2 linked regions of the Coturnix japonica genome follow. The protein of the gene in region 2 interacts with the protein of the main gene of each other region in a biochemical or structural test. Links are inferred from orthologs where the notes say so. Each region holds a gene or a part of one and is shown on either strand. Other genes may lie near its edges. The genes, in order: SHC2 and KDR.

What was found.
Region 1: the proteins of KDR (region 2) and SHC2 form a complex in vitro, tested with the Homo sapiens proteins (2 studies listed by BioGRID). The link is inferred for Coturnix japonica from reciprocal best matches to the Homo sapiens genes KDR and SHC2.

Annotation. Positions count from the first base shown.
Region 1 is NC_029543.1:1,744,327-1,748,732, reverse strand, and holds the start of SHC2 (SHC-transforming protein 2), read left to right. Parts: upstream 1-1,439; 5' UTR 1,440-1,524; coding exon 1,525-2,082; intron 2,083-2,602; coding exon 2,603-2,673; intron 2,674-2,966; coding exon 2,967-3,027; intron 3,028-3,188; coding exon 3,189-3,308; intron 3,309-3,387; coding exon 3,388-3,441; intron 3,442-3,647; coding exon 3,648-3,699; intron 3,700-3,848; coding exon 3,849-3,975; intron 3,976-4,067; coding exon 4,068-4,233; intron 4,234-4,315; coding exon 4,316-4,382; intron 4,383-4,406. UniProt on the Homo sapiens protein: Signaling adapter that couples activated growth factor receptors to signaling pathway in neurons. Involved in the signal transduction pathways of neurotrophin-activated Trk receptors in cortical neurons.
Region 2 is NC_029519.1:58,810,249-58,814,053, reverse strand, and holds part of KDR (vascular endothelial growth factor receptor 2), read right to left. Parts: intron 3,103-3,805; coding exon 2,946-3,102; intron 1,765-2,945; coding exon 1,644-1,764; intron 1,108-1,643; coding exon 999-1,107; intron 298-998; coding exon 1-297. UniProt on the Homo sapiens protein: Tyrosine-protein kinase that acts as a cell-surface receptor for VEGFA, VEGFC and VEGFD. Plays an essential role in the regulation of angiogenesis, vascular development, vascular permeability, and embryonic hematopoiesis.

The sequences.
Region 1 (4,406 bases), on a different chromosome or scaffold from region 2:
AATAAAACCTGGAGCTGCCCCATGGAGCTTGCAGGAGTCCAGCGTGTTCCAGCACTTTGCAGCAGTTTAAAAACCAAAGCAAGAAAGGCAGAGAGAAGCTAAGAGATGCTGTTCCTAATATGGCAACAGCAAATGTATGTAATTCTATTACCCTGATTTATCGATTGCACTTAGAGCGATTACTGGCTTTCACCCCCATCATCTGCCAGGGAGAAGGAGACAGTGAAGAGAAGGCGAGATAAAGGCAGCCAAGCATTGTCCAGGTCACTGTGAGCCCCCAGGGAGGCTCTGGTTCTGTCTGTGGGGCAGAGACCTGACCCCTCAGCAGCACAGCATCCCTCTCTGTCCTCATCCTTCGAAAGATGCTCAGTTGAAAATGGAAAGGCAGAAATAAACAGCACCCGAGGGAGGACTCGAGGTGAGGAGGTGGCTCCGGGCTTGGTCCCCAGTGTGTGAGTCATGCTGGGAGCCCCCACAGTGGGTGCGATGCCTCATGCAGGCTGCCTTGGCCTCCTGCCCCTCTGCTCAGATGCTGTGGGTGGATGCCAGGCTGGACAGGAGGTCTGAGTCCTTTGAATGCCTGAAAAAACAAAAAGCAGGGCTGGGGGAGGGGAGTATTACATGATGGTTTGAGGTCAGAAAGTCCCTTTAAATGTGTCTGTCCATCCCCCCAACCCCCCCCCAGCTTGCTGCAGATACTGGCAAAGAAGCAAGAAAATGATTGTGCTTTTTACTGCCTGAGCCCTCCAGGCAGATATAAACAAGTGGGAGCCAGACAAAATCAGAGTGGACAAGACCACTGGGTTGGGAGGCACGGAAATAAGCCAGCCCTATTGTACAGCAGAGCCCCCCCTGCACCCCTCCACCTCCCAAGCAGCCTCAGGCACCCTGCAAATGCTTCTTGGTGATGGAGTGGTAGAAGAATGGAGATAATGTACCCGTTGCAGGTGAAGGCAGCAGCCAGATGCTGCTGGCCCCTTCCAGAAGCTGCCTGCTGGCCACTGGGGGCATCCCTGGCATGGGAGGGGGGCATCTGTCAGCACAGGCAGCCCGTTTTGTGCAGGAAAGAGCTCATCCCACCTCATCCTCGGGTGTCCACTATTCAGTTGGCTCTTTTGGGGCTCCCATCGTTGGCAGCAGCCCAGAGGGGAGCACAGCCGGGGTGGCTGGGGGCCGGGTGATGCTGGGGGGTGCCAGGGAGGGGCTCGAGGCTGGGTGATGCGGGGTGATCTCGGGGTTGAGTGATGCTATAGGGTACCGGGTTGGGCTCGGGGTGCTGCCGGGGCCGGGCTGCCCGTGCCGGGGGGGGGCTGCAAGGACGGGCAGTGGGGCCGGAGAGGGCGAGAGGCGGGGATGCTCAGACAGCCGGGAGGGGCCGGGGCGGGCGGCGGAGCGCTCTCACCATGACATCAGCGCTGCGCGGCCCCGGGGGAGCGGGTGGGGGGCGGGAGCCGGCTCGGTAGCGGTGCGGGGCGCTGAGCGGCGCCGGAACGGGAACGTTCGGCTCGGCCGGGGCGGCGGGGCATGATCCCCGAGCCCAAGTATGATCGCTTTCGAGACGAGCCGCTGAGGGCCGCGGCCCGGCCACGCCATCCTCCGGCCGCCCCGATGCCGGCTCCGGCACCCGCGCATCCCGGTGCGGCCCCGGGGCTGGCACAGCCGTGCCCCGCTGCGAGCGAGGAGCCGGAGGCGGGTACCACGTTCTGCATGCTGCTGCCTCGGATGCCCCAATGGAAGTTCCCCGGTCCCGGTGGTTTCCTCAGCCGAAGCCCTTCGGGTTCCAGCAAGGAGCTCTCCTCGCCGGCCAAAGCGGGAGGAGCCGTGGAGTCCGGGGGGGCTACGTCCAGCCTGGCCGCCGTGCTCGGAGCCTGCGAGCCGGGTTGCTCGGCTCCGTGCTCGCTGCAGGTGATGAGCCGGCTGCGCGGAGGGGCCGGGGCTGCCAGGAAAGCGGCGAGGGTGGAAGGAGCCCGACCGGCCGGGGATGAGTGGAATCGCAAGGGCAGCTTCATCAACAAGCCGGCCCAGGGCTGGCTGCATCCCGACGAGCGGGTGCTGGGTCCTGGCGTCTCCTACATCGTCAGGGTAAGTGCTGCCAGCCCCGCTCCTCTCTGCTTGGTGCGGGTAGGTGTGAAGCCCCAAGCCCGCAGCTGGAAGCTCCCTCTGCTCACCCATCCCTGTGACACGGTCCCAGACTCTTGAAGGACTGGGCATGACTCCTCTGTCCTGGGATGGGCAACGTGGGGAGCCCCTGTAGCCAAGCAGTGCTGTGCTCTCATGGCGTGCATCCCTGGGCCTGGATGCTGCATGGTGGGAGCCCATTGCACAGCATCACCTGGGTCTCCATCCTCAGTGCAAGGGCAACAGAAATGGTCAGTGGGCCCAGAGGCCGCTGGCCTTGCTCTGGACCAACCCACCCCCGCACAGTGCTCAGAGCCTCGGTTTTCCCCATCCACATGTTCATCTCTGTGGGTACGGGATGCTGGCTGCCATCCACTGCTACACAGAGGAGCCCTTGTCACCGACACCTGCCTCCTCTCCATCACCTGCATTGGGGCTGGTGATATTCCTTGAGGTTTCTCTGACCTCCCCTCCCATCCTGCAGTACATGGGATGCATCGAGGTGCTGCGCTCCATGAGATCCCTCGACTTCAACACGCGGACACAGGTCACCAGGTAAGACCTGCAGAGATTGAGGTCGGTGCTGAGGTTGGGAGGAACTGTAGGGGCCACTCCATATGCTTAGACAGAGGCAGCAATGCAGTGATGGGCATCGGATCAATGGGTGGAAAGAGGAGAAGGGAGGTGGCCCCGGTGGGGATGACGTACCACCAGCCCTGTGACCCTGGGGGAGGCTGGGGGACATTGCGGCTGCTTGGGGATGATACTCCCAGAGCTACAGGAAGGGGAAGCAGCCAGGAAACAGCTGGGATCTGCAATGGTAATGCTGTGGGACTTGGGGCTTGCAGAGAAGCCATCAACAGACTGTACGAGGCAGTGCCGGGTGTGAAGGGCATCTGGAAGAAAAAGGTGAGTTTCCACCTGAGCCCATTCCCTCTCTGCTTTCTTAGGGTTGGGGTTATGGTTGATCCCAGTGCAGAGCCTGGGGTGTTGGGCACTCTGTGTCTTCCCCACCCCATAAAGGCTCTTTGGAAGGGCAACATCACCCCTGTGCTCCTGTCCCCCATCAGGCTCCCAGCAAAGCCCTTTTCTCCATCCTTGGGAAGAGCAACCTCCGCTTTGCAGGCATGAGCATCGCTGTCAACATCTCCATTGATGGCCTGAACCTCATGATCCCTACCACGCGCCAGGTGAGAGCCAGGCATCCCAACCCTCTGCCTCCAACCTTATCTCTGAGCTGGGTGTTGATGGCCTCCCCATGCCCTGCAGATCATCGCCAACCACCACATGCAGTCCATCTCCTTTGCCTCCGGTGGGGACATGGTGAGGCTCTCACGTCCCAGCCCTGCACTCAAGGAGTGGGGACGTGGGGCTGCCCATCCCATGGTGGGGCCAGACTGAGCCAGAATTCAGGGACAGCCCAGTCCTTGGGGCTGGAGCAGTCAGGGCTGAGTCTGGTACTGGCAGCCTCAGCCCCGCTCTACACACAGCAGCAGGACATGAGCCCCAAACACCCTCTGTGTCCCCAGGACACCACGGACTATGTCGCCTACGTCGCCAAGGACCCCATCAACCAGAGAGGTGATGCTGATTCCCGGGGCATGGAGAAGGGATGAGTTGGGCTGGAGGAGGGCACCTCTTGGTGGGGTGTGAGGGGCAGCTGGGGGCTCTTTGGGGGGCTGCTGTGAGCCTGGGGGAGGGTTCAAGTCCATTCACCTGCCTGTTTGCAGCCTGCCACATCCTGGAGTGCTGCGATGGGCTGGCACAGAGCGTCATCAACACGGTGGGACAGGCCTTTGAGCTGCGCTTCAAGCAATACCTGCACAGCCCACCCAAGGCTGTTGTACCCCCAGACAGGTAGGGCTGGGGTCCCTCCATTCTTTCTTGTGCCTTGTCCTTGCTTGGAGTGGGGCTGTGTCTCCAGCTGCCCCTGCTGTGTTCTGCACAAGGGTGCTGGGGATGGAGGAGTCAGCGTGGGGGGAGGATGATGAGGTGGCCGAGCACGATTACTACAACAGCATCCCAGGCAAGGAGCCACCCCCAGGGGGGCTGATCGACTCCCGTCTCCAGCACAGTGCATTCCCTGGCCGTATACGTGTTCAGCCCTCTCACCAGGTGAGCCCTGGAGCCACTGCTAACCCCACAGTGAAGACCCAGAGTCAGTCCCCCCTGTAGCCTTGCTGTCTCCTGTTCCCAGGGTGGATTAGCACTCAGACGAGAGCTGTCGAACCAACCAGGGCAGCCCTGGGACTCAGAGAACCAGGGTGGGTACACAGTGGGAAATATTG
Region 2 (3,805 bases):
TGTCCTGAGCAATGCAAACATAGTCGCCTCCATCCTGGAGGGAGATGTTACGGAGGATGAGTTCTAAGGTGACATTTTCACCATTGACATTTGAAACAGTTGCGTTCAGCTTCTGCAGAGCATCCAGGTTCTTGCAAACAGGCATGGGCAGCCCTCCAAAAGGTGTCTGTGAGACATGAGTGCTGAGTTTGTACCACGATAGCTTCTCAAAAGTGAATTTATCAGCTGTGCACTGTAAGGACGTGTTATCCTTCTCTGTCAGTTGACTCCGAGGCTGGAGATTAATTTCAAGACCTCCTGCACGTTAAGAAAAATAGAAAAGAAAATTCTTCTGAGGCTGCATGTTTTGTTGCCAACATGGGTTTGAAAAGCCTTTTTACAAATACAGTATTATCCTCATCTTGTCTATTTTTAAATGAAGGAAGAAATCAATGAAAAATCAGTTAACCACTTAGGTAAAGAGTGGTTATTAAAAGCAATAAACTTACATAGATTAAAGAAAGTCTTGTCTACTTAATACAGTTCTTTCAACAGAAACTTCTGCTGATTCTTAACATTATCTTACAGCTCTTTTTTTGATATGGATTTAATATACATGAATATGAGAACTGATTTTCAAGAGGACAGAAGCTCTTTGCCAGCAGTTGTGAAAATTTTAGCCTTAGCTTTTACAGCACATCACAGCTCCTTTTGTGAAACTACCCATATTTTTCTCTATCTCTTTTAAAAGACTACAGAAACCCAACAGCAATCACTCTCGGGTATTGGTGCCCACTTAGTACGATTTTCATGGGACTGCCACTCCACTGATGCCAGCAGAACCAATGTTTTGGTTGAAGTTAGTTGGTGACTTTAAAAACTGCTCTAGGAAAACCTTCAATAAGATTAAAGGATTTTATAAAGGACAAGAATCAGATAATAGTGTAGAAGCACGTCTAAGTAGTAAGAAATACAAAATAACATTAATTTAACATGACTCCTCAGAAAGGTGTACTTACTGGTCACGTGAAAGGAGATGACTCTTTCACTTGATCCAGCTCTGTTAGTAGCCATACATCTGTACAAAGCAGATACATTTGCTGCTTGAATCACAAGGGTGCTTACAGTCTACAAGGGAACAAACAAGAAATTTCATACCACATCAGTGTTAAGGTTCCTTTATGAGTCTGAACACCACAACAGCTCAGCAAAATGCTCTGCTGACTGAAACACTCTCCATAGTATAGTGGCTATACGGTCCCTTACTGATATTCACATGCTTAAGTACATGACAATCAGATAAAAGAAAACAACAAAAAATAGGATATGGTGTTCATGTCCATAAATACTGTACCCACTACTTTTCTGCTCTTTAGTTTTCCTAGCTTTTCCTTATTAACTGACAAAACTAACTTGCCCCCCTTAAAGAAAAGTGCTGAAATGTAAACAGGCTTCACAATGAAGAATTGCTCTGGGGAAGTGTCTAAAGATTCAAGTGTCCATCTCTACCTCTTAGCTTCAATATGAGCTTATATGAGCTTATATGATCAGAGGCCAGATCCCCCAGTTTAACATTACATAAAGACTCCCATCTCTAGTGATACACTTCTGACTGCTGAACAGATCTAGTTTTTCCTAATCAACAGAAAAGAAAATCTTCTCACCTTTGTTTTCCCAGCAATAGTAACAACTCTCTGTTTGATTTCAACCTGATTCCCACCCTTTCTCTCTGAGATCACTTTCCATTTTCTGCATGCATATGGATTGGCTCCCAGGCGAACTTTTCTGAGACAAGAAGAGAAGTGACATATTAGTCCACAGGAAACATTAGTCCTTTCCTAATGTGTTTTTGTGTTTTCCCTATAATATGAAGACGCTGATCAACAGATCAGATGGATCACGGGCTACAGCCTACATTTTGGTGGGAAAAAGTATGTTTCTCGAAATATTTCTATTAAATTCAACCCTGTAACCTTCTAAGACCTTTGTGCTTTGTAAAACAAGAAGCCCCCAAGCTGAAAGGTGAATTCCCTAATTAATCTGCCTGTGTCAGCTCCATCAGGATGCTTGGAGGGAAGCGGCTATTCTGGGAACAAACCTCCATTCATAAATGCAAGATTCGAGTTAATTTAGTTCAAAGGAAGACAGAGAGACATAGAAATCACTGAACTCCCTACAAGAATTTCTTGAGGACAGTAGCCATTGTGTAGGAAACAACCAGGCACCAAAGGAAGAAACTTGTGGAAATCTCTTTAAAAACAACAACAGGAAAGAAGAATGCTTTTTTTTTTTCTTGATTTTTTTTTTTTTTTAAAGGAAACCTGGGCTTATGGCAGACCCAGATAAGGGAAGCTGCGTGAATCTCAGTCAGGCACTCTCTCTATCTTTCCCCAACATCAATCAGTGCACTTCCTTTGAGATACACTTTCACACAGATAAAGAGCACTGTCACACTCAGCGCTGGAGCATAAGACCACAAAGGTCTGCAATTAGCATAAACAGCAAGTTTCCTGTGTTTGGGACTGAGCCCAATGGGAGAGCTGACTGGGGTGGGGGAATAAAAATAGCTGTATTTAAAACCCATCATGGCTCAAGATGCCCTTGAAGAAGGCTTGAAGGCAACAAGCCAGCATTGCCAGCTCCTCACCACAGGTGGCCCCTGTCTCTCAACTCCCTGTCCATGAGTCAGCAGAGCCTGACTGCCTATTGAGTACAACAACCATCTTAGTTGGCAATTGAAGTCATTTTGAGCCTACAGGTGTCATCAGCAAAAGCTCTCTCATGACTTAAGAGGGAGCAAAACCAAATCCTAGGGCTGAACGCTTCAGCGTCCACCACTCTCTGTCCAGTATTTATAATAGCACAGGGAGGCTCCAAACCGCCAGCCCAGCTCAGCTGAGCTCACCTCGAAGCCCAGACACAAAGCAACACCACCGTGAGCTCCCAGCCCCAATACTGCCACTCACTGGGGGCTGAAGGTGCACTCCTCCTCCAGCTGCCAGTACCACAAGACAGCAGCAGGCGGTGGGACAGCATAGATGGTGCAGGTGAGTGCCTGCGTTGAGCCGTACTTGTAGGAGTCAACAGGGGCCATCAGCGCGTTCTCGCCTATCTGGGGGGGAACTGGAAGAGAGAGCAGGATATTACACCTCCCACAAGGCTTCCCAATGGCACTGTATACACACACCCCATGTCACTTTGTTCCTATAGAAGCTGGGGACATCTGAGTGCAGAGCAGAGCACCTCCAAGGAACAATATGCAATGGAAAGTGTTGAACCTGCCCAATGCCTTGAGGATCAGGATCTCAAGATGCCATGCTTAATGTCTCCACTGAGATCTCCCTTCTCTACTCCCATGCTTAAAAGGTAGTCCTTGAGGTCTTGCCCCTATCCCCAGCTATTAAATGTTTGTTACACTTCAGAATTTAACCTCACTGCCCTTTCCAAGACCTGCTGTTTTCAAAGCACAGGAGAAAGGCTGTTTCCTGAGAAGCAGAGGGGAGGAAGAGGAGGAGGGCTGTGTGGGGCAGGCCAGAAGATGAGGGACAGCCGGCATAGAGCAGGAAGGATGGGCGAGGCAGACCAGGGTCAGGATGGAGTGGAGTGGGGGAGGCACCGGGGAGCAAGGAGGACAGGAAAATGACAGGACACGGAGGCAAAGAAATAACATGCAGAAAACAAAAACACACCCACCATGTAGCGCCACAACAACACAAGCCTGAAGCCTCTTTATCAGCACATCCTGCAGCAAGGCCCAAGAGAGAAGCCCCAGCTTTTCATCCCCCCAGCTAAGCATTAAGTGCTCTGCTCTAAGCCCCCGTCCCTG